Linked DNA regions of Saccharomyces cerevisiae S288C. The gene in region 4 interacts genetically with the main gene of each other region. Each region holds a gene or a part of one and is shown on either strand. Other genes may lie near its edges.

The links.
Region 1: mutations in STB1 (region 4) and IXR1 together harm fitness more than expected from each alone (negative genetic interaction), as found in Saccharomyces cerevisiae (2 studies listed by BioGRID).
Region 2: mutations in STB1 (region 4) and HAP4 together harm fitness more than expected from each alone (negative genetic interaction), as found in Saccharomyces cerevisiae (3 studies listed by BioGRID).
Region 3: mutations in STB1 (region 4) and YHR131C together harm fitness more than expected from each alone (negative genetic interaction), as found in Saccharomyces cerevisiae (2 studies listed by BioGRID).

The regions. Positions count from the first base shown.
Region 1 is NC_001143.9:378,160-386,803, forward strand, and holds IXR1 (DNA-binding transcription repressor IXR1), read right to left. Parts: upstream 3,700-8,644; coding exon 1,906-3,699; downstream 1-1,905. Other genes in the region: TTI1 (Tti1p), read left to right, coding at 1-413; MAE1 (malate dehydrogenase (oxaloacetate-decarboxylating)), read right to left, coding at 4,557-6,566; transcription factor TFIIE subunit TFA1, read left to right, coding at 7,599-8,644. UniProt on the Saccharomyces cerevisiae protein: Binds to platinated DNA and confers sensitivity to the anticancer drug cisplatin. Activate the expression of the COX5B gene.
Region 2 is NC_001143.9:228,900-237,022, forward strand, and holds HAP4 (transcription factor HAP4), read left to right. Parts: upstream 1-3,327; coding exon 3,328-4,992; downstream 4,993-8,123. Other genes in the region: KTI12 (Kti12p), read right to left, coding at 40-981; SLD2 (Sld2p), read left to right, coding at 5,527-6,888; YKL107W (putative short-chain dehydrogenase/reductase), read left to right, coding at 7,242-8,123.
Region 3 is NC_001140.6:360,467-369,639, reverse strand, and holds YHR131C (uncharacterized protein), read left to right. Parts: upstream 1-1,747; coding exon 1,748-4,300; downstream 4,301-9,173. Other genes in the region: ECM14 (putative metallocarboxypeptidase), read left to right, coding at 1-1,138; YHR130C (uncharacterized protein), read left to right, coding at 4,340-4,675; ARP1 (actin-related protein 1), read left to right, coding at 5,487-6,641; FUR1 (uracil phosphoribosyltransferase), read right to left, coding at 6,875-7,525; YHR127W (uncharacterized protein), read right to left, coding at 7,996-8,727.
Region 4 is NC_001146.8:47,446-55,379, forward strand, and holds STB1 (Stb1p), read left to right. Parts: upstream 1-5,216; coding exon 5,217-6,479; downstream 6,480-7,934. Other genes in the region: tetratricopeptide repeat-containing protein EMW1, read right to left, coding at 1-577; RFA2 (Rfa2p), read left to right, coding at 842-848, 957-1,771; putative SCF ubiquitin ligase complex subunit SKP2, read right to left, coding at 1,952-4,243; ZIM17 (Zim17p), read right to left, coding at 4,462-4,986; KRI1 (Kri1p), read right to left, coding at 6,677-7,934. UniProt on the Saccharomyces cerevisiae protein: Involved in the regulation and timing of MBF-dependent transcription in late G1 of the cell cycle.

The DNA.
Region 1 (8,644 bases), on a different chromosome or scaffold from region 4:
TCATACAGTGCGTCCTATGCTCTGATTATTCGATCGTTCAGCCCGCATGTTCATGCGTGGAGCAGATGATAAAATATTCTGGTGATTTTGTCGCCAAGAGATTCATTGAACTTTGGCAGAAACTGTGTCAGGATTCTTTTATATTGAAAGAACTGAGGATTGATCCAACGGTGCACAACCATGAGAAAAAATCGATTAGTAAGCATGTCAAATTCCCACCAGTAACTGAAAATGCGCTAGTATCGATGGTACATATGGTGCTAGAAGGGGTCAAAATTACAGAGTATTTAATTTCTGAAGCGGTACTTGAACAAATAATATATTGTTGTATTCAGGTTGTTCCAGTGGAGAAAATATCATCTATGTCATTGATAGTGGGGGATATCGTGTGGAAAATAAGAAATATAAATTAAACTTATGTGGCTAAACATATGCATTTGTATATGGTAATACAGTGGTTTATTATTGCTCACATTGTTCACACCAGTGACTATAGTGATTACAATAAGTAATTAGACAATAAATGTTATGAGTGATCCAGAATGAGGAATGATATGTGACTTCAGAATTAGCAGGGCAGCTAAATTAAAGATCTTTTAATTCAATTTTAGCTTACGATTTATATCTATGAAAGACATGAATTGTCACTTTGGGTAACCAATGATATCGGTGACTGCTATTTATACCTATCTCATATTATATTAAGAAGACCAGCTTTTATTCTCGGTTGGTAGTACCACTTGTCTACTAATCATCAACAATATATTCTAATAAAGTATTATGTACATATATATATATATATTACCAGCTCGGCCAGGCATTGGAAAACAGAAGAAACATTTCTCATGATTGAAATGGATAAACACGTTAATCAACAGGGACTATGTTGCAGGTGAAATATTAGCAATTAATAAGAAGGGCAATACGCATATTACAAATGAAGCGATAGAACAGACAGTGTCCAAGTAATGATAATAACCAATATATGCGAGTATTAGTATTTTCCTAAAAAAAAGCAAGATTATATACACGGAATGGAGGAGCAGTAGCTACTTTAGATTCGGAGTTCCCTTACACTTGGAGAAGTAAGTCTGCTATCCTGAAAATATCCGTTATACTAAGGGCTCCAGTAATAGCGGGCATCTTGACAATCCTAATATCCTTAGGGTGGTGACTAGCACTCACCTTTGTTGGAGTGAAATCGTAATATCATCTATTGACTAGTATTTATGTTATTAGTACACATTATCCCATGCGGCGTCAAAAGATGACATGAAAACTGAGAAACAGTCATAAGACTCAATGGAAGCGCAGAATCTCGGAACTAAACTAGTTGTCCAGGTATTTACACGTTTAACTGGTTTGTCTAGGCAGGGTATCGTTTGATGTAATAAATTTTGTCTGCTTTGTAACGAGTGTTTCTGACATGTTTCAAACATATTTTATGTGTAAGTTGATAAGTCGCCCTTGTGTATCGTACAACTATGCCACTTTAAAATGATCAATTTTACAGATTAATAGGTTTCGTGGTCTAGTCGGTTATGGCATCTGCTTAACACGCAGAACGTCCCCAGTTCGATCCTGGGCGAAATCAATTAATTTTTTTGGCTTCATCACGCTCGTCAGTTGAGCTCGCACAGCATCAGAGGCAAACTTGAATTTGGCTTAAGTATATTACAAAAACAAGAAGGAGGGAAGACTACACACATGCGTATATGTATACAGGCAAATACATATAGACTGAAGTTAGAAAAAGGGAAAGAAAAATTATTATTAAATAAAGTAAAATTTGTAGTAATAGGAAATAGAGTAGTACAATATAAAACAAATGTTGAAAAAGGAATTCCTTATTCTCGTTGTTTGCGTGGGATAATGTTACAGTGGAAAACTAAAGTTGTTTATTTGTTATTCATTTTTTATGATCGAACCATTTGTAGTGGGGTCAGCCAATAACATGTGTTGTTGTTGTTGCTGCTGTTGTTGTTGTTGTTGGAGCGGCTGCTGCTGTAATGAAATCGGAGGAGAAACGGGCGTATTTGGGTTGGTACTGTTACTGTTGCTTCCGGTAACTGAGTCGATGGCATTTGCGGTTATGTGCTCGATACTGTCTTGGTTCTCCATGATTTTAGTGTCCATATTCAAATTCATGTTCATGGCCTTATGTGAGTGACCGGTTGGGTTACCGTTTGGATCATTTTCGTCGGGATAACAACTTTCCCATTCCTTTAATCTTTTCTTGTAAGTTTCAGTGTATTCCGCCTTTTTGGCAGGGTCTAACTCGCGCCATCTTTCACCGATTATCTTGGTAATTTCGATTAAACCTTTATCAGGATTTTCCTTGACGACGGTAGGTCTAATCTCCTGGGTGAACTGAATAAAGGGACCAGAGGGTCTCTTTGGGGGCAAAGTCTTTTCGTAAGCATCTCTCACAACTCTGTACTTCTCCCAGTTGGTTCTGAATTCTTCGTAGAATGGTTTTTTTTGATCATCCGTTAACTCTTTCCACCTTGCAGAAGCCAATTTAGACAATTCGGGGACCTTTGCTTCAGGGAATTGTTGAAGCAACTCATTTCTTATGGACATAGAAAACAGGAAATAAGCGGAAGAAGGTCTCTTTGGGCCTTGCTTTTTCAGTTGTTTTCTTCTCTCAATTCTGCTTTGAGTGGAAGATAATTTCTTCACCACTGGATGCTGTTGTTGCTGCTGTTGCTGTTGTAGATGATGATGTTGTTGTTGAAGTTGTTGTTGTTGTTGCAACTGGTGTTGCTGTTGTAGCTGCTGCTGTTGCTGCAACTGCTGTTGTTGTTGTAATTGCAGCTGTTGCTGCATCTGCTGCTGGTGGTGAGTCAATTGAGGTTGCAGATTGGGTGGTAACAAACCAGGATGAGTAGCGGTGTTGGCATTTCCTGCAGCATTTCCTGCAGAGGAAGGGTCCAAAAGACTAGACAGAGCGTTCATGTTGTTCGGGTAGTATCTCTGCACCTGTGGGAGCTGAGACAAGTACGAAGCCGGGCCAGCAGCATTGTTTGCGGCGGCCGCAGCAGCCGTGGCAGGGTTTAATTGGGAGGCTGCCAGCTGGGCAGGATTACTGCTAGTGCTGTTATTGCCGCTACTAACATTGTTGTTGTTACTGTTGTTGTTACTAGACGCGCCTGTACCCGTGACAGAAGGGTTTGTCTGTTTTTGAGTTAAATGACTTAAAAAGGAGTTGTAAAACTCGGAAAATTGTTGTTGATTGATCGTCGGATAGTTTTGGCCCGATCCGGTTTGTTGCATGTAACCGAAATCCTGAGGTAGCGCGTTAACATTAACATTGTTGTTTGAATTTGAGTTCGAATTAGCATACTGTTGTTGTTGTTGTTGCTGTTGTTGTTGTTGCGACTGCGAAGTAGGTTGCGTCAAAGATTGTGGAGGTAGTGGATAATAAACATTTTGCTGTTGTTGTTGAGGCGACTGCTGGAAGTGACCTTGATAAGGCGCTTGTTGTTGTTGCTGTTGTTGCTGCTGCTGCTGCTGTTGTTGTTGTTGAGGCTGGGCTTGAAACTGGTTCAAGTATTGGTGAGGTGTCTGGTGAGAAGCATCTCTGTACTGGGAGTCGTTGTGTTCGAGACCCTGATACTGCAGCGAATGGTCTTGGCCTATGTTGAGTAAGTTGGAGTTAGAGGCGTCGTCCTGTTTGGGCGAGATACCGGTGTTCATTGCAGTTGTGGGTACTGTTAGCGTCGTACGTATATCACAGAATGGATAGAAGAAGGGGATATAGTTGTGGTCTTGCCTTGACTTGCGTTGCCTTGCCTTGTCTGTGTGTAATAGAGTTCTTTGTGGGATATCAGAGCGAATAAACTTCAGCGTCACAGTCTCGGTAGCAGTAGCTGTTAGGCAGTGACCTAGCAGTAGAGGAAACAGAATACAATGCAGTACGATTACGGTACAGAGGATAACGAAGTAAACCACATTTACAGCGAGAACGAGAGACAGAAGGAGAGAGAGAACGAATGCGCCGGGCCGTGTCTATACTTGGCTCCACCAGCTGATGTGTGCATTTTTTTTTTGTTCCCATTCGTTCTCTCACCAAGGGGAGGTGGAAAAGAAAAGAAGAAAAAGAAAGTAAGGAAGGTCCGCTGCGCCTCTCCTTTGCTGCTGTTGCATCCGGACATCACACCCAACACAAAACCCCGCGCGGCCGTCGTCAGTAACCGTTCCACCCATTCCTCCACGGTATGTAGATCGCTAAGCACGATGTGTATGTTTTATGGATATGTGCCGATTTTTTCCGCATTTGGTATCATATTTTGTTTTGATAATTACCGTTCTTGTTATTGCTAGTTGCTTGGGTTAATGTTCTTGTGCTATTGTTGCTGTTGTTATTGTTTTTATTATTGTATTATTGTATTATTATTATATTATTATTATTATTATTATTATTATTATTATTACGGTATGTCAAGTATTATTTTTTTTTTAAAAATAAAGAAAAAAATTGTACAAATATATATATTTATATATTACTCTATATGGTTTTTTTTTTTTAAGTGCAGGCGTTGGTTATGCTTCGTCTACAATTGGTTGGTGTGCACCGATGGGTCATGTTGGACCTTGATCATAGGTCTGTACACAGGCTCCCACATTTGGGCTTTGACCCACTGTAAACATTCGTCAAAGTCACGAGGAACCTTGACAGTTTCGCCGGGAGCTCCTCCCGGTACTTGTTCTTGCTCGATACGGGCGGTTCCCTCCTCGAGTGCTTGCAAGATCACAGCGGTAGCTAGACGCGCAGAAGTGTTGGTGATGGTGTCCAGGCCGGGTAGCAACCCAGGTCTCGAGTCGCCCTCTCTTAGTGGCGACAATTCGGCTAGTTGGTCCACTGCAGCGGAGATCATCTTGTCTGTGATGGTGGTGGCACGCGATAGTACGGCACCTAAACCGATACCTGGGAAAGAGTAACAATTGTTGTTCTCCGAGATACGGTAACCATCAACAGGTGGGAAAGGAGATCCGGTAGCTACAAGAGCGTTGTTGTTGGTCCACTTCATTAAATCGGCAGGAACGGCTTCGTGTAGTCTAGTAGGGTTGGATAATGGGAAAATGATCGGTCTAGGATTGTGCTTGTGCATTTCTTCTACGACATCTTGAGTGAATGCGCCTGCTTGTGTGGAGCAGCCAACCAAACACGTTGGTTTGACGTTCTCCACCACATCATGTAAAGAGCGGGTGTTGATACCAGCCCATTCCGCATCACTCTTAGCGTATACGTGTTGGGCGGGAGTGGAGTTAGCCTCGTAAGATTGTAGAATTAACCCACGTCTGTCCATCAAGAAGATTTTCTTGCGCGCTTCTTCCTTGTCAACGCCGTGCGTGACCATATGATTCACAATTTGATCTGCGATACCGAGGCCCGCAGACCCGGCACCGTAAATAAGCACTCTGGTGTCTTTCAAGTCTCTGTTGGTATGTTTCAAAGCAGCAATCAACGAGGCCATCACGACGGCACCGGTGCCCTGAATGTCATCGTTGAATGATGGCAATTCGTACCTGTACTTTTCTAGTAATCTTCTAGCGTTCTTAACACCGAAATCTTCGAAATGCAGAACGGCGCTTGGATACACTTTCTTAACGGCCTTGATGAATTTTTCCAAGAAGTCGTCATATTGCTTACCCCTGATTCTGGAGAACTTGTTACCCATGTACAATTCGTCACGGGCTAGTTTCTTGTTGTTAGTACCGACGTCCAAACACACAGGTAGCACACGGCCGGGATGAATACCACCGCACAGCGTCATCAATGCCAATTTGGAGATAGCAATACGTACACCACCGATACCTTGGTCACCAATTCCCAGAATACCTTCCGAATCCGACACAACGATGTAGTCTACATCTTTGTCTCCACCGTATGTAGCCAATCTACATTCGATGGAATCAGGTTCGGTAATGTCTAAAAACACACCTTCTGGCTTTCTGAACCTGTGGGAATAGGCAGCAATAGCATCACCTTCGGTTGGGGTGTAAATGATAGGAACTAATTCCTTGATATGTCTCCTTATTAATGCAAAATATAGGACTTTGTTCTGTACTCTCAAAGACGTCATGAAGTCGTTTTTGGCCAAGGGCGTCTTCAAATAGCATAACTGCTTGTAGCTTCTTTCCAGTTGTTCGTCCAAAGTGTTCACTTGTGGTGGTAGCAATGCTTCTAAATTAAACGCTTCCCTTTCTTCTTGTGTAAATGCAGAACCCTTGTTAAATAAAGGAGAGTTTAAAAGTTGAAAGCTCTCCAAGGGACATTCTATGGCACCTTCTACAGTCAAACGAGTGGCATGTGGGTGAGGAGCTTCGAAGATCTTTCTGGCGCGAGAACCGACGGGTGTTTTAGTGACCTCCTCGTCGCTGTATGGCTTTTGGAAAGTATTTTCTCTTGTTGTGGTAGCTTTATGCGATCTAGTGTTAGAAGAATATAAACGCGATTGCTGAATAGGCCATCTTCTTAATGGTGCTGTCCTTGATGCTGTCAAGGATCTGGTTAGTTGCGATCTAGCAGCAACGGAAACGGATAGTCTGGTTCTAAGCATAACCGTATTTCTACCTTTTGTCTTGGTATTTATGTGCACTAAACTCGTTAAAAGTTGTAGGTTTCAAAAGCACAAATATCCGAAGCTGGACACAATATACGAGTAAGTATAAAGATACGCATATATATATATATATAATATGTCAATCATGCCGGTAACGGGTACGACTTCGAAACTCTATAGCGCTAAAGCTGTAGACCAAAGGAAGTCAAATGGAGCATACGCGGTACAGTAATAGGAAATTGCGAAAATTTTTCACCATAGAAAGGCGATGATGAGTCGAAGCCAAGGGGACTCAGTCACTCAGTCAGCTGATGCGATGCGATGTTAGCGCAAACAATAACGCGTACGATAATAAAACTTCAAATGCGCCAATTCTTTTTTTTTTTTTTTTTTTTTTTTGATTTCTTTTCATATATCCGATTTAAACCGCCTAGGGAAGAGTAAAAACCCGAATTGTTCCGTCTATACTTGGTTGTATGGGTGTTTTTTCTTCGATGCTTTTCGTATAAGAAGATATGCAGTGAATATCTTTCAATCGCCTTGAACGGTTGACAAGACGCAAGAATTTGAAAAACCTTGCAATGCACGATGCAATATTCAATTTGCACACATCGAAACGAATTGGTATCGAAAATAAACGCGAAACATATGAGAAATTTTTCTAACTTTTCTTCCTTCGTTAAGAGTGATCCTTGCACTGTGATGAATCGCTATAATTGTTGTAATGATTGACACTGGGTGAAGGGCAAAGGATGTCCAAATGATAAAAAAACAAAAAAATTTGGAAGTGTAAATTGTACCATGGGCGAATTTCAGGTTACTATTGTAGTCTGGTGAGTTAATACGTAATAATACTTGGTTTTTTTTTTTGGTTTTTTACTAAGCGTTACCGTGTGTAGTGATTATCTAAGCGGTTCTTGCAAGATTAGGAAAAAAGCTAATTAAGTGTAAACTTGGCAGCATGATTGCTCGTCCTAATCGAGCCAAAGATAGAAAACTACTGGAAGCAGCTGCTGCAGTGAGTAGAGTATGGATAGACCTATAGATGATATTGTGAAAAATCTTTTAAAGTTCGTCGTTAGGGGGTTTTATGGTGGCTCCTTTGTACTGGTACTCGATGCTATACTATTTCACTCGGTCCTAGCTGAAGATGACTTGAAACAATTGTTGAGCATAAATAAGACGGAACTGGGGCCGCTAATTGCTAGACTAAGATCAGACAGGTTAATATCCATACACAAACAAAGAGAATACCCTCCAAACTCAAAAAGTGTGGAAAGAGTTTACTACTATGTAAAATATCCTCATGCTATTGACGCAATCAAATGGAAGGTCCATCAAGTCGTACAAAGATTGAAGGATGACTTGGACAAAAATTCAGAACCTAATGGTTACATGTGTCCGATTTGTTTGACCAAGTACACACAATTGGAAGCTGTACAATTATTGAATTTTGATAGGACAGAATTTTTATGTTCCCTATGTGATGAACCGTTGGTGGAAGATGATTCTGGTAAAAAAAACAAAGAGAAGCAAGATAAATTAAATAGGTTAATGGACCAAATTCAGCCAATCATTGATTCTTTGAAAAAGATTGATGATTCAAGAATTGAGGAGAATACTTTCGAAATTGCATTGGCTCGCTTGATACCACCTCAAAATCAATCACATGCAGCATACACGTACAATCCAAAGAAAGGCAGCACCATGTTCAGACCGGGAGATTCTGCTCCATTGCCAAATCTTATGGGTACTGCTCTTGGTAACGACAGTAGTAGACGTGCCGGTGCTAACTCTCAAGCCACATTACACATCAACATTACCACGGCAAGTGATGAAGTGGCTCAAAGGGAATTGCAAGAGAGACAGGCTGAAGAGAAAAGAAAACAAAACGCTGTCCCTGAATGGCATAAACAGAGTACCATCGGTAAAACTGCTCTTGGTAGACTGGATAATGAAGAGGAGTTCGATCCTGTAGTTACTGCATCTGCCATGGATTCTATAAATCCTGATAATGAACCTGCACAGGAAACATCCTATCAAAATAACAGAACTCTGACCGAGCAAGAAATGGA
Region 2 (8,123 bases), on a different chromosome or scaffold from region 4:
TCTTGCCATTTACCTTCTGATATTAATCACATGTATATCTCAATTCAAGTTTTTGTTAAGATAATCAGCGAAAAGCGGACCGATCCTATCTTGATCTATATCTCTTAGTTTGTTGAAGTTAATGAATTGCCTTTTCAATCTCTGCAATTGCGCCAACGTAACGACGTTACCAATGGGCAAGTCTACGAAGAAGCAACCATCATCATTGATATCGGTAATCCCTTCGGAAACAATGACTCTTGTTCCGTTACTTACCCCGCCAATAGAAGTCAGGCTTTTGATGTGGTTCATTATGGTTTTTATTATCTTACTAGTTTCGATGTCGAGAACCTGGATGAAATTGGACTGAGACGCAGGCTTTAGTACCGTGGCTGAGTTCGGTTTTTGTAAGCCCTTACTCAACGGATCATTGTGTCCACTGTTTTTAGCCGATTTGGAAGTTTGAAAGACTACTTTACAAATATCGTCGATGTAGTCAGTTATGTTGTCCTGAGGAGTAAGAATAGCAAAGAGTGGAGAGTCCCATCGGTTGCTTGAGTTAGGCTCTTCGTATCGTTGAATCAATTGATTCAATAACTCGGGTTCCCAAGGGTTCGGGTTTGAAGTCTTATTCCACTCGAATATAGTCTCTGGTGGACACAGTGTTTGAATTACACAAAATGTGGTGGACAAATTTTTCACCTCGCAGTGAAGTTGATACCGGAAACCCTTGATATAATTCAACGAGTCTACAATGACTATCTTGTTTTTAGATAGATCTCTTTTCACTGCGGAGATGATCTCCGACCTCAATTTTCTTTCATCTTGGGAAGTTATATAATCTGAATGTTTTATGCCTAAAGATTCATCTGAATGATAGGTTATGGAATATTTACTTAATGATGGGGTTGCATCGATCTTGGACTGTAGTAGTTGTACCAAATGTTTAGCAAGCGTTGTCTTACCACTACATGGGTATCCCGTAAAAAGCACCAGTGGCATCTTCTTACTAAATTGCCTGTTTAGTTTTTTCAAAAGTTTTACAAGGTCCCTTTACCCTCATTCTGATACGTTATTGTTCAAGTTTCACCTGTTCATCAAGTATTCTTCATTTCTTTTTCCATCGCGATGACGATGACAAAACGGCAAAAAGTCAAAGAAAAAGAAAAAAAAAGATTTTTTTTCCATCATATGCAGAGAGAATATGTCCAAGCCAAGCGCAGTGTGCATGTATGCTGTTTTTAGCATATCGGGTGTGCGAAAGGAATGACATAATGATTTGCAACTAATATTTCCTTATATAAATATGCTTCTGGATATGAGTCTCATGAAACAAGTTCAGTAATTGCTTGTTTTACCCTTACTTTTTTCTTGGTTATGACTTGTGTACATAATAAATTGCCTATTTTCCCAAATTGTGTCCTTTTTCCTTTCCGGTTGGTATGAGATATTTCTTTTCAAAAATCAAAAGAAAACAACAAAGGGTTGATATTATGTAATGCAATACCTAGAATCGGGAAAAACTTGTTTGTCGTACCAAGAGAGGCAGCACTGGCGTGCCTTGATTTAATATAACTCCTGAGATAGTGGGGGTTACATGAGTTGTACAGCATAAGACTCCCTCTCCCCAGTTCTGTTCGTATATGTCGGGCTTGCTTGCGAAAGCAAGGGGTTCAATAAACAGAAAACAGAGTTTTTGGATAAAGTTTAAACAACGGAAACAGAGCAACAATGAAGGAGAGAATAAGTATCAATTGTGTAATTCTGTATACCGTAGTGCACAGTACGCTGTGCGCAACTCTTGCCTAAAAAATCTAGTTATCAAGCGGGGTGAATATGCTACAATGCCTCTTTTACGTTGTACTCTATCAAGGGATGATAGCAGTGGCACATATTGATTGATACGACTTTTCGCCGCGCGGTAGGCGAAAAGCAAAGAAAACTACAGTAATATCCAGAAATAGATGCATTTTATGTGCGAAATAAAACTCATGCTGAAAAAAATAGTAATAATTAATAGGGTAACGAATAGAATGCAAACCTTATCACGTGAAAGAGAGAACAATCATAAATGATTTAGTGCGTAGGTCCAGATTTGCGAAACACTGCGGAAGGCGAGAAAAGAATTCGAATATGAAGTAGGTAGAAGCAGAGGTAGGGCCGCTATTTAAAGATATACTTTTTCTGTACGGGCCGGTGACTTCGCAGTAGTGATGTACTATGAGATCACTATTTTGCCGGAAACTGTAGGCAAAAACCGTTTATGTCTTTTTTTCACCTTACGGGATAACCTCTGCTGAGAATTTCCAAAACTAGGCATGGATGATTGCCGGAATTTGAAACCCGGGCCCCGGAGGTTGATCGCACGGCAAATACATAAGAACCTTCTCCGCAATACGGGCTTTCCTCAATTTTCTTGGCCAAAAAGCGAGTCGGCCCCGAGCTACAAATCGGGAACAACGGAGGAATAGAGCGACAAGTTGATTCGGTCGTGCAGCCCGGAAAAAAAAGGCTGTCCTGCGGGCTTTATTCACTCCAATGCCGCTGAGAGGAACACGCGTTTCGTGGGCTTTGGACCACTACCCCGGCGTTCAGAGAAACCCCCCGGGGCAGGGGTCCGAAGTCTAAAAGTTTAATCCGGAAGTAGCGACGGGGGGGAAGCCCGCCGCGCACAGATGGCCAGCACAACGGAGCGGGGCCGAGGCGGCAAACGAGGTTAAGCCCGCTGAACCTGAAAAAAAAAACGAAAATTTTCTTTCATCAAGGACTAAAGTTTTCTTATGTTACGGATCTTGCACGCGGTAAGCAATGGCCGTAGCCTTTTCACAGTTGCTTCCAAGTGTCATGTATCGATTTTGCAGATTGTTCTAAAAGTAAATGGATTGCTATTTTCTTTCCGAGACTACTCTAAAAAAATTTATTGAGTATGAGATCGTTTTTAGATAAATTATATATATTGTAAAGCTATTAACTAATCTCCTATATCAATTTCTTCTTGCTTAACCCCGTGTGGTTGTTTAGGTCCATCTCCTTTTTCCTTTTAATTTTTTTACCTTTATTAATTCCTTCACCTCTCTAAACCCCAGTTTTATATCGTATATGCTATCTACAGGTCCACTTTACACTTAATAATATAAAAATACTACTATAAAGGAACCAGAAAAATAAAAAAGGGTCATTATTTATTTGAGCAGATCATTATCAAACGCATAGGAAGAGAAAAAACACAGTTTTATTTTTTTTCCACACATATTTATTGGTCTCCTAGTACATCAAAGAGCATTTTAATGGGTTGCTGATTTGTTTTACCTACATTTTCTAGTACAAAAAAAAAACAAAAAAAGAATCATGACCGCAAAGACTTTTCTACTACAGGCCTCCGCTAGTCGCCCTCGTAGTAACCATTTTAAAAATGAGCATAATAATATTCCATTGGCGCCTGTACCGATCGCCCCAAATACCAACCATCATAACAATAGTTCGCTGGAATTCGAAAACGATGGCAGTAAAAAGAAGAAGAAGTCTAGCTTGGTGGTTAGAACTTCAAAACATTGGGTTTTGCCCCCAAGACCAAGACCTGGTAGAAGATCATCTTCTCACAACACTCTACCTGCCAACAACACCAATAATATTTTAAATGTTGGCCCTAACAGCAGGAACAGTAGTAATAATAATAATAATAATAACATCATTTCGAATAGGAAACAAGCTTCCAAAGAAAAGAGGAAAATACCAAGACATATCCAGACAATCGATGAAAAGCTAATAAACGACTCGAATTACCTCGCATTTTTGAAGTTCGATGACTTGGAAAATGAAAAGTTTCATTCTTCTGCCTCCTCCATTTCATCTCCATCTTATTCATCTCCATCTTTTTCAAGTTATAGAAATAGAAAAAAATCAGAATTCATGGACGATGAAAGCTGCACCGATGTGGAAACCATTGCTGCTCACAACAGTCTGCTAACAAAAAACCATCATATAGATTCTTCTTCAAATGTTCACGCACCACCCACGAAAAAATCAAAGTTGAACGACTTTGATTTATTGTCCTTATCTTCCACATCTTCATCGGCCACTCCGGTCCCACAGTTGACAAAAGATTTGAACATGAACCTAAATTTTCATAAGATCCCTCATAAGGCTTCATTCCCTGATTCTCCAGCAGATTTCTCTCCAGCAGATTCAGTCTCGTTGATTAGAAACCACTCCTTGCCTACTAATTTGCAAGTTAAGGACAAAATTGAGGATTTGAACGAGATTAAATTCTTTAACGATTTCGAGAAACTTGAGTTTTTCAATAAGTATGCCAAAGTCAACACGAATAACGACGTTAACGAAAATAATGATCTCTGGAATTCTTACTTACAGTCTATGGACGATACAACAGGTAAGAACAGTGGCAATTACCAACAAGTGGACAATGACGATAATATGTCTTTATTGAATCTGCCAATTTTGGAGGAAACCGTATCTTCAGGGCAAGATGATAAGGTTGAGCCAGATGAAGAAGACATTTGGAATTATTTACCAAGTTCAAGTTCACAACAAGAAGATTCATCACGTGCTTTGAAAAAAAATACTAATTCTGAGAAGGCGAACATCCAAGCAAAGAACGATGAAACCTATCTGTTTCTTCAGGATCAGGATGAAAGCGCTGATTCGCATCACCATGACGAGTTAGGTTCAGAAATCACTTTGGCTGACAATAAGTTTTCTTATTTGCCCCCAACTCTAGAAGAGTTGATGGAAGAGCAGGACTGTAACAATGGCAGATCTTTTAAAAATTTCATGTTTTCCAACGATACCGGTATTGACGGTAGTGCCGGTACTGATGACGACTACACCAAAGTTCTGAAATCCAAAAAAATTTCTACGTCGAAGTCGAACGCTAACCTTTATGACTTAAACGATAACAACAATGATGCAACTGCCACCAATGAACTTGATCAAAGCAGTTTCATCGACGACCTTGACGAAGATGTCGATTTTTTAAAGGTACAAGTATTTTGAAATAGGCATGTTGCAATAAAACGAAAACAACTAAAAATCACGAAAACAAAATGATATTATACAATAAAAAATTCTTATTATGGGTAATGATAGTATTCTTCGCCTGCTTAGGCGTCCTTTTCCTTCAACAACAAAAATTCCAAAAAAAAAAAGTAAAAAAACAAAACTTTGATTGTTTTTTAATGATGTTAATGATTTTTTTTTTCTTTCTTTATCATAAAAAAAAAGTTAAAATGAAAAACAAATATGGGTCTGGAAGGCCATTATTTTTTTTTTATTTATATACCGTTTCTGGTACTTAGTTATTTATTCTCATACATACACTATATTCAAATTACCTAAGAGCATTTTCACATATCCGTTTACTTTCATTTTTTTTTTTTTTGCTTCCTTTTTACATATCTTCCGTATATCACATCACGTTTACGCGTATGGTGAAACACGTCAAGAGAAAAATGATAAAATCAAATTTTGATTTACATCAGGCTCCACAGGACAGGGAAATCTATCTAGTGAGGCGATAACTGTAGTTCGATGTACTCATTTGAACTGGACAAATTGAAAATTGAGCTGAAAACATGGGAGCATGATTTCATTGATAAAAATAAAAGGGAACCCACAAGGGATGACATCAAGAGCCTGCGGACTGTTCGGCAGATGTATAAACAATATTCCACACTGAAGAAGAAACAATCTTTGCAACGACAAAAAGTTGACACTCAAGAGTCGGTTGAACTCCCGGCACATAAAAAAGACCACGACGAAGTCGTAGAGATAGGCCCTACTCCCCAAGTTTACGGTAAGGCGATTAGTATCTTTGACATGAATTTGTCGCCTATAAAGCCTATATACATGACATTCACAAATAATATTGATGTTAACAATGATAACTCCAAGACAATTTCTAATGAATCTTCTCCACGAAAAACTATTCTCCTAAAATCGTCGCCTGCAGATCGTACGTTAGTGGCGGAACCAATATCCAGTGTGAAACGCCAATTAAACTTTCAAATGCTAAACGCTTCTTCTACACGTACTCCGACTTCATCACCATGCAAGAATCGCAATGGGAAGTTGGTAGAAATCAAGAAATGTAGTCCAACTATTAATCCTCCACTAGAATCTGGCAAACCATCGGGGTATTATGGACCTAATTCCCCGCTAAAATTGGATGAAGAAAACATTCACCTAAACATCTCACTTAATTCAAGCACTAAACGCCGGCTTCAAATAGCATATCCATCTTTACAGAAGACTCCCTCAAAGGATCAAGCGGATATTTCAACTTCATTTAGTCCGTCTCCACTCATTAGAAGACCACTGACGAAATCCCTGATAGAATTGGCCAGGGAACATACTGAAATTGTAAAAGAATTTGGTGTCTTACAGGAAGAAGATATTGAAGAGGAAGAGGAAGGAGAAGAAGGCGAGAATGGTTACGATGAGAAAAACCACGAAGACGACTTTGGGCTAGAAGATGAACTAATTAGACCAAAAGTTGTGAAGGACATATTTCAAGAGGATGATGATAATGATGATAGCCAAGCAAGGGAAGATACCTTCATAAGAAAGAGACCCAAAAGAAGAAAGGTTATCAGAAGATTACGAGACAATGATCCAGAAACCGAGACCGCAGGTTTTGAGAGAGATGTCCATAAGGAGCTGGTGAAACTCAAAAGAAGGAAAGTGGCAGAATTTTTGGGATCCACCTCACAAATCTCTGATACTGAATTTGAACATGATCCGGAGGCAAGCAGCGGCGTTGTAAGCTCAGAGCAAAAGCCTACGGCTAAGCGAAAGGGTAGAAAGAAGTATAATCTAGTGAGCAATAACTTCAGAAGACTAAAACTGCCAAAGAAAAACCGATTCTCTAATGGACGATGGGGAAGAAGGTGAGCGTGATGGCGTAAATAATACAAACATTTGTAATTTATAGAAACCTATTAAGTATTCAGTTAGATTCCTTCAGCTGCATGACGTATAGTTTATATGGACATCATACGTATTTTTATCAATATAGAGACTAGCATGTTTTTACACTTTTTATTTTTGTTGTTCAATTAGGGGCCTCGTCCATATATGTATATATATTACATAATCTGCAATCATCAATTAGGGGAGGAATAATCGGCAGAGGTATAAATACAAAATTTAAAACAATTCAAGTGAATGAAAAGGTGAACCAACAAACAGAATATTACCACGTATCAAGGAAAAACTAATAATAGTATATTGGCGCATTTAGCAGGATGTTCTGGAAAAAGGATCCCACCGTCAGTTGGGAAAGAAAAAATATCAATGACATTGATTTTAGTCGTTTTAATGTGGCCATAATTGGTGGCACAGGTGGACTTGGACGTGCAATAAGTAGAGAGCTGGCCCAAAGAAATGCCAGGGTTACTGTTGTCGGGCAAACTTTTAGGGACGAGGACCTAAAAGATAAAATTAACTTTGTCAAGGCTGATTTAAGTTTAGTGTCAGAATGCAAGCGTATATCTCATAGTGATGAAATTCCCTACGAGGAGTTAACACATCTGATTTTCACTACGGGTATTTTTGCATCACGCCAGAGACAAGCTACAAGTGAGGGTTTGGAAAAAGACATGGCAGTGAGCTATTTGAGTAGATACATTATCTTCCATGATGTGGCGAAGCGATTAGGAATTAGTAGGACAAAAAAAGACGATTTGCCAAAAGTTTTCATAGCAGGGTTTCCAGGAAATGGTCAGGTGGGAGACCCAGATGACTTGAATTCTGATGAAAAGAAGTATAGTGCCTACGCTACACATATGAACACTGTGGCAGCCAATGAAAGTCTGGTCATAGACGCTAAAGACAGATACACGAATATAGATACTTTCGGTTTGAACCCTGGGCTGATCAAAACGAACATTCGTAATAATCTTCTTGGCAGTGACACCTACCTCAGCCGCATTACAGAATGGATAATCAGCTGGACCTGTCAAAGCGCAGAGACGTATGCGAAAACAATATGCACCCTGATTGCGAGCCCCGCTATCGAATCACGCAGTGGTACAATGTTCAGCAACAAAGGCGATGCTATTTTACCTTCGCCTGGTTTGACCAAAGATGTTGTTGAGAAGTTTATGGAAAATTCGGAACTTCTAGTT
Region 3 (9,173 bases), on a different chromosome or scaffold from region 4:
GCTGACAGATGATTATGATGTATGGACGAGAAGCAATAATTTCATTGATATTAAGTTGCCTAAAGAAATAGGTGAGCAGATAAATGATGGGCAGGTGATCATAGATAACATGAATGAATTGATACAAAATACATTGCCTACAAGTCAGATGATGGCACGTGAGCAGGCTGTTTTTGAAAATGATTACGATTTCTTCTTTAACGAATACAGGGACCTGGATACTATTTATATGTGGTTGGATCTTCTAGAAAGAAGCTTTCCCAGTTTGGTTGCAGTGGAACACTTGGGCAGGACATTTGAAGGCAGAGAGCTAAAAGCTCTGCATATATCCGGAAACAAGCCAGAATCAAACCCGGAAAAGAAGACTATTGTTATCACAGGTGGTATACATGCCAGAGAGTGGATCAGTGTCAGTACCGTCTGTTGGGCACTTTATCAGTTGTTAAATCGATATGGTTCGTCTAAGAAGGAAACCAAATACCTGGACGATTTGGACTTTTTAGTCATACCTGTGTTCAATCCAGACGGATACGCATATACGTGGTCGCATGACAGACTATGGCGTAAGAATCGTCAAAGGACTCATGTTCCTCAATGTCTTGGTATCGACATTGATCATTCCTTTGGTTTCCAGTGGGAAAAGGCACACACCCACGCTTGCAGCGAAGAGTATAGTGGGGAAACGCCCTTCGAAGCTTGGGAAGCATCTGCTTGGTACAAGTATATTAATGAAACCAAGGGCGATTACAAAATTTATGGCTACATTGACATGCATTCGTATTCACAGGAGATTTTATATCCCTACGCATACTCGTGTGATGCCTTGCCCAGAGACTTAGAAAATTTGTTGGAGTTATCATATGGCTTATCCAAGGCCATCCGTTCAAAATCAGGTAGAAACTACGACGTAATCTCCGCATGTAAGGACCGTGGTTCCGACATATTCCCCGGCCTCGGTGCAGGTTCTGCGTTGGACTTCATGTACCACCACAGAGCACATTGGGCATTCCAGTTGAAATTACGGGATACAGGGAACCATGGATTTTTATTGCCTCCAGAAAACATCAAGCCAGTTGGAAAGGAAACTTATGCTGCTTTAAAGTACTTTTGTGACTTCCTACTAGACCCAGAGATATAATGGATACCACGGTATACATTATATTACAAGTTAGTAATACCCTATCCTATATAAAATCTAGAAAAAGCAAAACCTTATATATTTTCTTCTATATTCTCCAAAAAATTATTTTAACTTGGATTATCTGCTCATACACCCCCTAACATGAGCAGAACCAATCTGTAAAATTCTTTGGTGTTGGCTTCGATTATTTTGATGTGACTTGAAGGCTTCATCTCCTTTTTAGTGATTAAGCCTCCAAGAGGGTCATAATTTCCACATCATCGTTGACGGAGTTATCTTACGATTCTTTATAATTGCAAGAAGGATATATATCGTTATCCGCTGTTGTTCGGTCATTTTGGACATTAACAATACTCAGGAGATCAACATTGTAAGTCCTTAGTTGTATATCCGCGTTTTTAATTTAGTCGTAATCATCAAGCTTCAGTGAGGTGGGTGCATCTAACTGTCTTACAGTAAGAAAAAAAAAAAAGAGAAAAGTTTCATAATAGGGTCCACCGAAAAGATTACAATTTTGTTGACCAGCACAAAAGAAATCGTTGTTTCTTGGGGCCACAGTATATTTTTGATCCGACATCGTGCATACAAGTTGTTCGTTTGTTAAGGATGGCTCTGCCAATAGAGGGCAAATTATCCATGGCAAATAATAGGATCGAAAGGTTAAAATCACCCTCGTCTTCATCAACATGCTCAATGGACGAGGTTCTCATTACTTCAAGCAATAACAGCAGCTCTATATGTTTAGAGACCATGCGTCAACTTCCTCGGGAAGGTGTTTCTGGTCAGATAAATATTATCAAGGAAACTGCAGCTTCGTCCTCTTCTCACGCTGCTCTCTTCATCAAGCAAGATCTTTACGAGCATATAGATCCCCTCCCTGCTTATCCACCGAGCTATGATCTAGTAAATCCCAATAAAGAGGTCCGCTTTCCTATATTTGGTGACACGGCACCATGCCCAAAGTCTTCTCTCCCTCCTTTGTATGCACCTGCAGTATATGAATTGACGTTGATATCCTTAAAATTGGAAAGGCTTTCACCTTATGAAATTTCTAGTAACAGGAGCTGGAGGAATTTCATCATTGAAATTAATTCGACTCAACTAAATTTTTACCATATTGACGAATCTTTGACGAAACACATTAGGAATTATTCAAGCGGGGAAACAAAATCTGAAAAAGAGGATAGAATTCATAGTGACTTGGTCCATCGCAGTGATCAATCACAACATCTGCATCACCGTCTCTTCACTCTACCGACGAGATCAGCTTCGGAGTTTAAAAAAGCAGATCAAGAACGGATCTCTTATAGAGTGAAACGTGATCGATCGCGGTATTTAACCGATGAAGCTCTTTACAAGTCTTTCACTTTACAAAATGCAAGATTTGGGATACCAACGGATTATACCAAGAAGAGTTTTGTGTTAAGAATGTCTTGTGAAAGCGAACAGTTTTTATTACGGTTCTCTCATATAGATGATATGATTGACTGGTCTATGTACCTATCAATCGGGATATCTGTGTCTTTGGACTTGGAAGTCAGGGAGTATCCAGATTATCGAATTGTTCCCAGAAGAAGGAGAAGGAGAAGGAGGAGAAGGAGGAGAAGAAGACACACTCATAGAAGTGAGAGTTCGATGGGGTCTTTTTCGCAGAGATTCATTCGTTCGAATTCCAGACCGGACTTAATCCAAAGATATAGTACCGGGTCTAGCACTAATAACAATACAACTATCAGGGAACGCTCGAATACTTTCACAGCTGGTCTACTAGATCATTACTGCACTGGCCTCTCAAAGACGCCTACAGAGGCATTGATATCTTCGGCTGCATCAGGAGAATCCAGTGATAACAGTACCCTGGGATCAACAAGGTCATTATCTGGTTGCTCAGCTTCCCGTTCGATTGCATCTAGAAGTTTAAAATTTAAAATTAAGAACTTTTTCAGGCCTAAAAATTCTTCACGCACAGAAAAGCTTCACAGACTCAGGTCCAACTCAAGTAACTTAAATAGTGTTATTGAAACGGAAGAAGATGATGAACACCATGAATCAAGCGGGGGAGATCATCCAGAGCCTGGTGTTCCAGTAAATACCACCATTAAAGTAGAGCGTCCAATGCACAGAAATAGAGCTATTTCCATGCCCCAAAGACAGTCATTGAGGCGTGCAATTAGCGAGGAGGTTGTCCCCATCAAATTTCCAAATAGCACAGTGGGTGAATCAGTTCATTCACCCTCTCCTATTGAGCATCTTTCCGTTGATGGCTGCGAGATTATGCTGCAATCACAAAATGCGGTTATGAAAGAGGAATTACGGAGTGTTGCGTCGAATTTGGTAGCCAATGAAAGGGATGAGGCATCTATTAGACCTAAACCTCAAAGCTCTTCGATATACCTATCAGGATTAGCTCCTAATGGGGAATCCGCCACAGATTTATCCCAAAGCAGTAGGTCGTTATGTCTCACAAACCGTGACGCTGAAATCAATGACGATGAAAGCGCTACTGAGACCGATGAGGACGAAAATGACGGTGAAACCGATGAATATGCTGGCGATGATACTAATGATGATACTGATGACAGTAATATTGGTTATGCTTATGGCAGTGAAAGTGATTATTCATGTTTAATTGAAGAACGAATAAGAAATCGAAGGCGAGCATCTTCTACTCTAAGTTGCTTCTCCAATATACCTTACGGAACGGATGATATTAAATGGAAACCAGCTATTAAGGAAATTTCAAGAAGGCGTTATTTGAGGGATTCTCTGAAGTGCATCAAACCATTTCTAGATAGTAACGACTGTTTGGGTAAGGTTATCTATATTCCAGTTTCGGGACCAACCTTTGAAACAAGTAATAAAATTCACTTTAGCAACCGCCAGAGCTTACAGAAGCAGAAGAATCATTTTTTAAAAGGCTTCATCGTGGGACCTACGGCGTTGATAGAACTTAATTGTAAAAATAAGAATGCAATTGTTGGAACAACAAAGGACGCTGAAGATCATGGGGAGGACGACGGTGACGGTGATGATGGTGAGGATGATGATGACGACGACGACGATGATGATGATGATGACGACGACGAAGACGACGACGATGATGATGATGATGATGATGACGACGACGATGACGATGATGATGGACAGATTACTGCATAAGCTGTGATGCAGTAATCTTGTTTTTGCAGAATTAATATCATGACTAAAAGTATATATATTATCATCGGATATATGCTACATGATGAGGAGTTTTTCTATTTCTTTTTTATTTCATTCTATACACTTTGGATCGTGTTTTTTCTTTTGCACTTGAGTTTCTTTTCAACATTATCATTCGGTATATTTCACGATTTTGACACCGATGTTTACATAAAAGTGGGTAATTATATTTTGCATTTTCTCGAATTGAGTAAAAATAGTAACCTTTTAAAGAATTCTTCAGAAATGTTAAAGCATTTCCGATTGGCATCATTGATGTATATGTACGTATATACTCAGATGATTTGCCCCTCGTTACTTGGCATCAGGAATTAGCAAGGGCTGTAAAAAATAAGTTTAAATATATATAAATGGTTGCGAACTAAGACAGTATTGTTTTCAACTATTACTTTGTCATTGACTAGTCTATACAAACTAATGATTTTCTACTAGGTCTTACTTCGATTTCTCGACACCGTACTCCAAGAGCTAAAGCTTTCAATACGTATGGATTGCTTCGTTGCTCAGAAAGGTTAACATTAATCATTTTAAGGTTTTTGTTTATAGACAGTACTTTATTTTCGCTTCATTTTTCCAGTTTATATTTCAATTTAACAAAGGCAATGCCTCTAATTTCAAACAAGCAACATAATACAGTATTTATTGATCAACGTTTGATTAGAAGTTGAATTTTGAATGGGTATCGTCTGGTAATTCCAAAGAATAAAAGAAATACCTGTTTTACCATGATAAACAGTGTTTATTATACCACGTTAAAAATCATTTCTTGAAGGTAACGCTTTCATCAACCTATAATAAGACTACAGAAAAAAGCTCATAAAAGAATGCTAAGTAGCATAATGTTCTGAACAAGAGCTCAAAGCAAAGGACACAGTACACCTGTGTGACGGTGAGTTTCCTATTGCCTTCTCTTTTTCCGTTTGTATTAATCTTTTCAAGAAAAAGTTCATTTCCAAAGTGGCCATTTTCGCGATGCACATCAATAATGATAAACACCTTTATTGAATAATAGCGAAGCAAATAGCAGATATTCCCAATAAAACAGCAAATTAATAAAAGGGCATAGACCAAGGAGTACATGCTAATGCTATACCACGAATTGAGGAATTAGAAAGAAAGTTAGCCAATGGACCAGCTAAGTGACAGCTATGCTTTGTACAATCAACCGGTAGTGATCGACAATGGTTCTGGGATCATAAAAGCAGGATTTAGTGGTGAGGAAAGGCCTAAAGCACTGGAATATTGTCTCGTAGGAAATACCAAATATGATAAAGTTATGCTCGAAGGTCTGCAAGGAGATACATTTATTGGAAACAATGCCCAAAAACTGCGTGGATTATTAAAATTACGATACCCCATAAAGCACGGCGTGGTGGAAGATTGGGATTCTATGGAACTAATATGGTCATATGTGTTAAATGAAGTCCTACAGTTGCAAAATATAGGTGAGCATCCTTTATTAATTACGGAAGCCCCGATGAATCCTTTGAAGAATAGAGAGCAGATGGCTCAAGTATTGTTCGAGACCTTTGACGTATCGGCTTTGTACGTTTCAAACCCTGCTGTTCTGTCATTATATGCTAGTGGGAGAACTACAGGTTGTGTAGTTGACTGTGGTGAAGGATACTGTAGCACTGTTCCCATATATGACGGCTTTGCATTACCTGCGTCTATGATGAGGATGGATATTGGAGGAGCAGATATCACAGAGCAGTTACAATTTCAACTACGGAAATCAGCTGGTGTTTCGTTGTTTTCCAGCAGTGAACGAGAGATTGTTCGCACGATGAAAGAGAAAGTTTGTTATTTGGCCAAGAATATTAAAAAGGAAGAGGAGAAATACTTACAAGGTACTCAAGATTTAATCTCGACATTCAAATTGCCCGACGGGAGGTGTATAGAGGTGGGGAATGATCGATATCGTGCTCCAGAAATATTATTTTCACCTCAAATCATCGGCTTAGGGTACGATGGATTATCTGATATGTGCATGCAATCTATTTGGAAAGTCGATCTGGATTTAAGGAAACCTTTACTGTCATCGATAATCCTAAGTGGCGGAACTACAACGCTTAAAGGCTTTGGAGACCGAATGCTATGGGATTTGGAGGCATTAACCAAAGGAACATCCAAGATAAAGATTATAGCCCCTTCAGAAAGAAAATATACTACATGGATTGGTGGTTCTATTTTAACGGGGTTATCTACCTTTCAAAGACTTTGGACCAAAAAGTCAGATTGGCTAGAGGACAGTACCCGTGTTTATTCGAACCTAATGTAAGAAACAGAGTCGTTAGATTTTTCAAGCATATTTGTTATAAATAGCCATTGATACGTTTATATTATTTTTACAAAAAAAGGTAATTAAACATGCATGAACAACAAAATTGATAGTAGAAGAGACGGCAACAAAGGTTTAAAACGAGAAAGGAAATTTAAAACAGTAGAAACCAAAAGTTGATATGCGGCTTCAGCCGTTCTGAACCTTCAAGATGGTGTTCGGGTGTGATTTATTTAAACACAGTAGTATCTGTCACCAAAGTCACCCAACCCTGGAACTAGATACTTGTTTTCATCTAGACCTCTGTCGAGGGCACCAGTAACAATTCTGACCTCTGGGAAGGCGGCATGGTATTTTTCAATCCCTTCCTTACTACAGATTAGGTTTAAGAAGTAAATTCTCTCTGGCTTAACACCTCTCTTAATCAAGACTTCTGTAGCCATGATAGCACTACCACCGGTGGCCAGCATTGGGTCTAATAGGAAGACATACCTTTCAGATATATCCTCTGGTAATTTTTCGTAGAATAACTTTGGTAAAGCAGTCTCCTCGTCCCTTTGAATTAAAATTTTACCGATACGCACAGACCTACAACAGTCTCTTAATCCTTGCTCCATCGATTCACCAGCTCTGACAATGGAAACACCACAGATTTTACCCATGAATGAGACACCTTCGAAGTTTTCGTTGGTGTCAGTTTCCACAATTTGCTTTTGCACAGGTAGATGGTTCAAACCTTCTTCAACCAACAATCTGATGATTCTATCGGAGTAGAAAATGAAATCAGGTCTAGTTGTATTCTTATTTCTGATGATGGTGTACAAACCCAGCAATTGGTTTGTTTGAGGTAGCAAGTAGACGTTCTTAAATGGTTCCGAAGACATTTTTTGCAGATTTCTAGGTTTGCTAACGAAAGACCCTTTGTTTGGATAATATATAAGATATGTAAGGTACAAGAATGGAGAAGCCAAAAAGAATAACGGGTTCATGGTTCAAGAAGAAATGAAGCTAGTATTGGAAGAGGATTCTTACCAATATATATATCTCTTTTGAGGCAGCTTTGAAAGAAGAAGTGAAAAAAAAAAAAATTTTGAAAAAAAAGACGGAAAGGGAAAAGTCCGCCGGAGATAATTACAACTGTCGATTTTTTATGCGATGAGATAAGCTTATAGAAAAACCGGCCTTTCTGTTATTGCAATGACCTGCTTTATAGTTTATGAAATAATTACATAGGTCGATTACTAGTAGAATGAGGTATTGTTATTAGGCAGTCATGAGAAAGCATGTCTTCAAAAAAATAGTTTGTGGCGGGGATTTTGCTGATTAAATACCTTGTGAGTGTCGTTGACAAACTCTAATACGACAAGTGGGACGATTCATCAGATGCAATCACCACTTGGATGCGCCTTCCATCAACTAGAGCGCCATGGAACAGTTTTCTTACCTTCTCCAAAGACTGTGTTGTAGGATATGCCAGACGGACCTTAGCGGTGGCAGATCCTGAAGGCAGGTCTCTAACCCTAATTTGAGCTATCTGCACCTGAGAAATGTTTTCCAGAACATTTTTCAAGTTTTCTTGGTTTACTCCCAAAGTTAGGTTGAATAGCATTAACAATTTATCTGAAGCATCTGAATTTGTAGATATCACAAGCTGGCTGCCACCTTGTATTTCTTCGCCAAAATGTTGTCGCTGCAATTTAATATTAGTGGTAAAATTCCGAGAGTTCTTGGCCCTGTTCATGCCGTTTGCTTTTTCGCTCTGCCAATCGGTTCCTCTGTGGGCATTGCCCCAGTCAGGACTGCTGTTTATGTCTTTGTGGGGCCTATTATTCTTTATTCCCTTTTTCCTATTTCTTTGGGAAACATTAGTTCTTTTATCGATAGCACCCTGTGCTTCTCTTAACAGTACACCGACGTCATTGCTGCTTACTAGCTTACCGTTGACAACGCTAAATCCTTCTTTAGTGTGTTCTACGGTTTTTTTTTTCGCTACGCCAACTTTTTTAATCTTGTCCATGGGAACCACTCTGTCTATTAAGCGTTTACTTTGAACATTTTTCTTGGAGGTTGTTCTATTTCTAGCCATTTTGTGCTCTGATAGATATTTCTGCCTGCTCCAATCTAAGACATTGTATATTTTGAGGTTACTATGATCTCTAATCAATTCACGGTGTGTATCTTCTAAAAAATCTATGGATGGACCTTTTTTTTTTTCGCGTTGGCCCTGAAAGTTCCCTTACCCGGTTGCTTTTCCTGACAAATTTCTGTAATGACAGTAAATGAGGATGAAAAGTAGACTTTGGATACAATATCACTGCAGATTCGGCAAACTGAGGTGTTGATGTAAGTTGTTCTCACCGTGAATACTACCTCATCAATATGTATTGGGTAAGTGCAGCTCTTTTTTCTACCGTAATATTTCTTTGTATGGTAAAGTCTCGAACACTTTTCCTTTCCTTTTTTTTTATATTTCTTTTTATGCTAACTAATTTTTCTCTCTTCGAAAATCCAAAAAGAAAGTTTCAGTCGTAC
Region 4 (7,934 bases):
CTACAGCTAATAATCCAGGAGTAGACTCAGCAGAGATAATAGGTAGCGGAATTTCTTGATCCGGGGTAACATCAAATAAGCTTTTTTGGCCGGTTATCCTTTCAAGTAATAATAGTGATAAAACCAAATACAATGGATCATCCATAAATTCGTAGGCAGGCTGGCCCATAATGGCTAATGAGCGGGAAAGGGCTGTATTAACTGCTCCTATTTCAATTCCAGTTTTGCCAAACAAACCTGAGATTGCTTTCAACCTAGCTGCTGGGCCGGTGTAGTTATTTTGAATAAAGGTCTGTAAGAGGGCAATAGCCAAAAATAGCATCTCATTTTCTTGGCCCATTTTGAAAACCTCAACGTTAAGAAAGTCATTTAGAGCAGCAATAACACTAGATGTGGATATTTCTCCCGAAATACTAATTTTTCCCTTAAATTTGTCCACAAATTGCTGTACTAGCTGGTATGATTCACCACTGATGATATGTTCAGCCTTTTTCACATATGTCTGGTCGAAAGAACCACTTTTCAGAGATTCTACTTCTGCAGACAGCAATAATTTTGCATGCAATAACGTCTCCATAATTTTGCAACCACTAGTTTACTTTTTGCCTGGTCTGATAGCTTCTTTTTAGCAATTCCTTTGGCCTCGATGAGCTTCCATTTTCAATTTTCATCTTTTTTTTCACGATGCGAAGTTTCTTAGATAATTATCGCCATATACGAAACGCGTTAGGAAACGCGTTCTTTCCTTTATAATAAGCAATATTATATCAACTTAAGGTGGAAGTAATGTGGCAAAATCGATAGCGACTATCTAGAACAGGCTAGTTTAAGCATATACATAATGGCAAGTATGTATTAGTGCTAGGAATTGGAGGATTTGCTCTTTTCTGCATCATTTTTTTTATTTTTATTGGCGAATGTTAAAATTACTAACAATGGATGGGATTCCAATACAGCCTATCAACCATATAACGAATATTCATCAGTAACGGGCGGTGGCTTTGAGAACTCTGAGTCCCGCCCAGGTAGTGGGGAGTCGGAAACTAACACTAGAGTTAACACCTTGACACCTGTGACGATCAAACAAATTCTAGAGTCCAAACAGGATATTCAGGACGGCCCCTTCGTTTCGCATAACCAAGAACTTCATCACGTTTGTTTTGTAGGTGTGGTGAGAAACATTACAGACCATACTGCAAATATTTTTTTAACTATTGAGGATGGAACTGGTCAAATAGAAGTGAGAAAATGGAGCGAAGATGCAAATGACTTGGCTGCCGGTAACGATGACTCTTCTGGTAAAGGTTATGGTTCGCAAGTCGCCCAACAATTTGAAATTGGCGGTTACGTAAAAGTTTTTGGTGCTTTGAAAGAGTTTGGTGGTAAGAAAAATATACAGTATGCGGTGATTAAGCCCATAGATTCATTCAATGAAGTGTTGACGCATCACTTGGAAGTCATCAAATGTCATTCCATAGCCAGTGGAATGATGAAACAACCTTTGGAGAGTGCATCCAACAACAATGGGCAATCATTATTTGTCAAGGATGATAACGATACATCTTCCGGCTCCAGTCCGTTACAAAGAATTCTAGAATTTTGTAAGAAGCAATGTGAGGGCAAAGACGCTAATTCATTCGCTGTTCCCATTCCATTGATCTCGCAATCCTTGAATTTGGATGAAACTACCGTCAGAAACTGCTGTACGACCTTGACTGACCAGGGTTTTATCTACCCAACTTTTGATGACAATAACTTCTTTGCCCTATGAAAATATATAGATTATTTTTTTAGCATTTCTTAGTATTCGTTTGTGTATTTCTACTAGGTAAGTACCAAAATTTGCCGGAAATAGAGTGGAAAATGGAACCCGTTCCAAGAAGGGGTAAGATGCATGAATATTAAGTTGGTTGCATAAATATGCTATATAAAGTCCACTACAAAAAGTCATTTATTTTTGCCCGTAAGAATAAAGAACGAATCCGTCCTTATCTCTGACTTCAATGGGAACATTTACACGCAGTACGGGCTTCAATAATAGTTCCCAGTCGTATCTGGTTCTAGGTGTACATAATGAAAAATGTCTCAGCATTCTTATTTTGACAGCTTTGAATTTTGACAAATTTCTCAGGAAACACCAGAGGTTAATATTTGGAATATCTTTAAAATTCTCTGGATCTTGGAAATCATTGAAAAAATTTTCCAATGTCACATTTTGTAAGAACTCCTCCACATCTAAATCTCTATATTCGATGGTTCGGTTCTTCAATTTGATTAAACTATCTCTTAGGCAACGCCTTACAGAGTTGTTCCAATAGTAAGTGTGGTGAATGTCTGATTCAGGGCTCATTACTGTACTTAAATTTGGAACTGCATTAGCATTTGGTATGTTATCTCTTATGGAATTATTTTCGTAACCGATTAATGTTTCTTGATCGTTCTCGTCGCCAACATCCTCATCTGTCTCATCAACACTAGTAATTGTTCTTGCTAGATGTTCCCAAAACGATAGAGGGGATAAAGGATACACATTGGTAAAGGGGATATTGATTACGTTAATAGAAATATTTTTACTTGGAAGTCTCTCCCAAAGTAAGCGGTAATAATGGTAGAAAGAATGAAATTCAGGGATTCTTTGTCGTTGAAAATTTTGTAGCTGTGCCGCAGTTAACATGGCGGGCTTTTTGTTATTGTCTGGTGATGGGTTATTTGAAACATCATTTCCTGTAGTTCTAGAAATATAGTTCAGATTTAAGGACAATACAACTGAAGATGTCGGCGGAGGAGTAATTATCTTCGAATCTGATGGCGCTTCAAATAATGTTTCTGTCATGGAATTGCAGTCATCAAAATCATCTTCTGTATCCAAACTTCGCTGTTGGAAATAATATGATTCGCCGACTACCTGTTCGTTAGTGAAACATTTGCTATTACAATCAATTGTTAGATTGGATAACGATGGGAAACAACTGCATAACAATAAGTCGAATTTACTGTTAATCTTCAGTAAGGATAGATGTTTGACCATTTTAAAGTAAGAGTGAAACAAACGTAATATTCCATTTCCAGGAACTACATCACATGAATCTAAAGTAAGTGCAGTGATAGGAGACTGTAAACTGTACAGTTCATTATCTTCGTTCTTTAGAAATAGTGGTAAGAATTCCATTGGAGTATCTAGCGATTCGGTGTCTATCGTTACATTTTCTAGTTTAAGTTCATTAATTATGCCGAAACAGCAGAATAAACTCGGTCTTAGTACGAGCTTTTGGTGATGGCGTTGACGATTAAAGGTTCTTTGTCTTTTATTATTAGCTTTGATTTCCAGTATTTTCAACCTTGGCAGAGAATAATACTTGGATTCGTATTCTTTGACAAATTTTTTGGATAGTTGGAAAGTCCTCAAATCTTCGTTTGTGATGGATTGCTGGCCCTTGATTATTTTCTTGAAAAAATCTCTAGATCCATCGTTGAATACAGAGTACCATAAAGGAATTTTAAAATTCGGTTCCACATCACTCAGAATCACTCTGGTCAGGTTCGGTAGATAGTCTATAATATCAAGCATTAGCTCAATATAAGTATAATGGAAGTAGTTGCTTTCCAATTTATCAAGCAGTTTGATTCGTTCTGAAGTTATGATGGGAGTCTCATCGTTTAGTCTGATGTTATTCAGTTTTTTTACGTCTTTATCATACGAATCGAGTTTATAAGATCCAGCAATAATAGAATCTTGGCCACTCTTATTATAGAACTTACTGTATTTTAACAACGAGTCTTGGGACTGAGGATTTTTGAATTCGATGGATCTTACGAGGAACCTTGCATTTTGTGATCTAGATTGTGTGCTACAATCACCGCTGTGTGTGACAATGTTCGACGTGTGGAACTCGGAGTGTATCAAAGCATTGAACTTTAACAACGAAAGTTTTGAGTCCAAAATAACGTTTTGGAAAAGGAACTCATTCGTAATCAAATTGTAGAACCTCGAATTGACTTGGCATAGTGTTACTAATGTATTGAAGTCCAAAGTTCGCAGTATTAACAGTAGAACTTTTGTTGGCAAACACATGAGGGACGATTTATCGTTGAAGCGTAGTGATCTCGATTTGATATCATGGCTCGTACTATGTAGAAGGCTTTTGGCATCAGCACAGCCCTCTTCCTCTTCTTCTTCCTCCTTCGCAGCACTGGAGACCAGCGAGAAATATTTTGATCTACCAAACAATTGCAACCGTTTCATGATTCGGTTGGTTTGAACGTTTGAAAATGCGGTTCAACTTTTCATATCTAGCAGTGGCTCATCTTTATGTACTCTAGTCCTAAATCTTCTGCTGGTTATCGCAAAAAAATATGTGATGTGCGGGTTTTTGGCAGTAATCATGACTCAGTCTCTGGAAAAACGTGCTATTTAACGGTTATATATCTATCTATGTACATGCCTGTGCATGAGCTCTTCATTCATTTCTGGGAAGGGTGAGGGAGCTGGGATGCATTTTCTGAGTTGTTCTTGGCATATTTTCCCAGGACGTCCTTTAGCGAATCTGGGATGTCTTCAAACTCCAAGTCGCCCACGTCTTGGCTAACTTGTTCTCCGTTAGCTTTCATTAACTGTTCCACGGTAACATGATGATCATGGAATATTTTCAGATGGTCTGCTATCAAATGTCTCACTTTGCAGTGCGGACAAGAGATCAAGACAGTACCTTTCTCGTACGCCTGCTTGGACATTGTGTGTGAAGATCGGGTGTTACATTTCTTGCAGGTGAAAGCTATCATCATCTTAGGCTTGTCTACCTTAAAAGACCCCAAATGAACCTTCTTATCGTCCTTTTTCACTTCATTATGTGCGATGATATTGGTATGCAACGCTGCTGCGGGTAGAGTACGGCACACGTTGTAGCGTACGCGAGGCGCCCAACATCTGGCAAAGTACCTGGTAATTGGTATTTTACTTTGCAGTAGTGTTCTAGTCCTCGGAATCATGTTCAGTCTCTTGATATTCCAGTTGCACCGGTGCTGCTTTAGTATCGCTGATCCCTTGAAGCCAACATGACGCTCTTTCACCTTTCCTCTCATAATTTTGATATCACGCGAAAATGCAAGAAAAAAAAATTACAATTATGAAGTGCAGAAGGAACCAAAAATATCATCGAAAGAAGGAGTACGTAGAGCGTTACTATTTTCAATCAGTGTTCCCATTGTGCATACAAGAAATGTCTCAACCCCAGATGTCCCCTGAAAAAGAGCAAGAATTGGCCTCCAAGATTTTGCATAGAGCTGAGTTGGCTCAGATGACGCGTCAATTAAAGCTTGGTTTAAGTAATGTCCCATCAACAAAACGAAAACAGGACTCTACAACAAAGAAAAGAAGCGGAGAGGATGCCGAAGATGTTGATGAGGACCACAAAACTCTTTTGGAAGCCATATCGCCTGCGAAAAAGCCTCTCCACGATGATACAAATAAAATGACTGTTATATCGCCCGTAAAATTTGTAGAGAAGCCAAATACTCCCCCAAGTTCACGCCAACGAAAAGCCGAAGACCGCTCACAGCAGATCAAGCCTAGGAAGGAGGACACTCCATCTACTCCGAGGGCTTCTGCTACACCTATAATCTTACCACACGCTTCGTCACACTACCAGCGCCCCCATGATAAGAATTTCATGACGCCAAAACGTAATAATAACAACAGCAGTAACCATAGCAATAACAATAATAATATCAAGAAGAAGGCAGCAGGCTCTAAGGATGCTCCACAGGACAGCGACAACACTGCGGGCGCTGATCTCTTAATGTATTTAGCCACAAGTCCATATAATAAGTCATCACATCATGGAACACCGATGGCCGTAAGGATGCCCACTACTCCACGCTCTTATCATTACGCGTCGCAATTGAGTTTGAACGGTAATACAGCAAGCACATCAAACGATGCAGTAAGATTCTCTCATATCAAACCTTCAGCGTCTTCTCCGCAGTCCACTTTCAAATCTAATCTGTTACCGAATTTTCCGGACGAATCTCTCATGGATTCTCCATCACTATACTTGAGCAATAATAACGGTAGTGTCCAGGCGACACTATCGCCACAGCAGAGAAGAAAGCCCACCACAAACACATTGCATCCACCTAGTAACGTACCTACCACGCCTTCAAGAGAATTGAACGGTACCAATTTTAACTTACTCAGGACGCCCAACTTCAACATGGGAGACTATCTGCATAATCTTTTCAGCCCTTCACCAAGGGTCCCCGCCCAGCAGGGAGCGTCAAACACGTCAGCTTCAATTCCTTCTGTTCCAGCGATGGTGCCCGGATCATCTTCCAACACTTCTGCGATAGCAACAGCTGCTATATCAAGCCACACCACAAACAATTTTCTAGATATGAACGCAAACGGGATCCCGCTCATTGTAGGACCCGGCACCGACCGTATAGGCGAAGGGGAGTCCATTGATGACAAACTCACTGATTGATCGTTGACGGCCATATCAGTTGATGATTCCATACTTCCTGAAATGGACCACTCAAAGGGACAAAAATGACAAATGTTGAAATTATAAAATTACATATTAATACGTAAAATGACATTCTTTTTTAGGGAAATTCGGAGATAGATTATCACTATGTAAGCTTATGTATCGTAATATACAGGGCCGATATTTCACCTAGTTTACTTTTTCTGGTGGCCTTTATGTTTATGACTGTGCCCCCTCTTGTGTTTGCTTTTAGAGGCTTTCTCTACAGGTATCAGTATGGTGTCCTCATCCTTCTCCCCTGCCTCTGCTTCGACTGGAGCTAACCCATTTTCGTTCTTAAAAGTTTTCTTCCTCCACTCTCTTAATCTTCTTGCCTTCATCACTTTCCTTTTATCCTTCGCTCTTAGTTCCTTGGAACGATAAGGTGCAAATTTCTTCAAACCAATAAATTCATTTAAATCAGTATCATCGGCGGCGAAAATCTCTCTTGCGGTCAAACCGAAACTCTCAGGAGAAACTTCACGGTAACGAAACTTCAAATCTTGCTCCTCTTTTGTACGGCTTCTACTCTTTCTTTCTTCTTCTTCTTTTTCAACCTCCTCTATTAGTGCTAGTTTGTTTTGTTCCAAAGCATTTTCCACTAATTCATTTACCTTTCTCTTTTCTTTCTTCTTTTGCAGTTTCTCTTCTTTCTTGCTCTTCTTTCTTTTTGGACCTTCTTCCTCGTCTTCTTCTTTTTGTTCTTTTTCCACTTCACCTTCTTCTGTTTGGTCATCACCATCGGCGTCTGCATAAAAGTCACCCATTATTTCGTCATCCTCGTTCCAGGTAGGCTTTCCCTCTTGTTGATAAAATTCTTCATTAAATAATTCAGCTACCACGTTATCCCACTCTTCTTCTTTGAAATCGTTCTTCAATAGGGTGTCAGTGATTTTTTTCACCATGTCGGCATTAATTTCAGCACCATATTCCTTTGTTAGTTGCTCTAAAATGTCAGTCAATTTATTCAATTTTTTAGTCTTCTTTTTCTGAAGAGCTGTCTCCTTCTCTGCTTTTATTTGCTCTTTAATTTTTCTTTTTTCCTCTCTTTTTCTTCTGCGTGAAGAGTCATCGGATCTTCTTAGTGTAGCTTGACTACGTGCATAAGATATAATTTCAGCTGCGTTTGGGTCCTCGTACCTAAAATTGTAGGCATTCTCAAATTTTTCTGCAGCATCTTCAAATTCTTCATCGTCCTCTTCATTATTGTTGAGGTCAAGAGAAATCACCTTGTCCCCCTTCTTAGGAATCCAGGCCTGTTGATTCACAAATTCTTCCAAGAAATTTTCTTCATTTACGGTTGGATCCGGTAAATTTTTTCCTTCCTTCTTCGTAGAAGGTTCCTTTTTCTTCAAAAACCCATCGTCTTCATCTCCGCTAGACTCTTCATTTTCTTCATCGCTAAAGGCACTC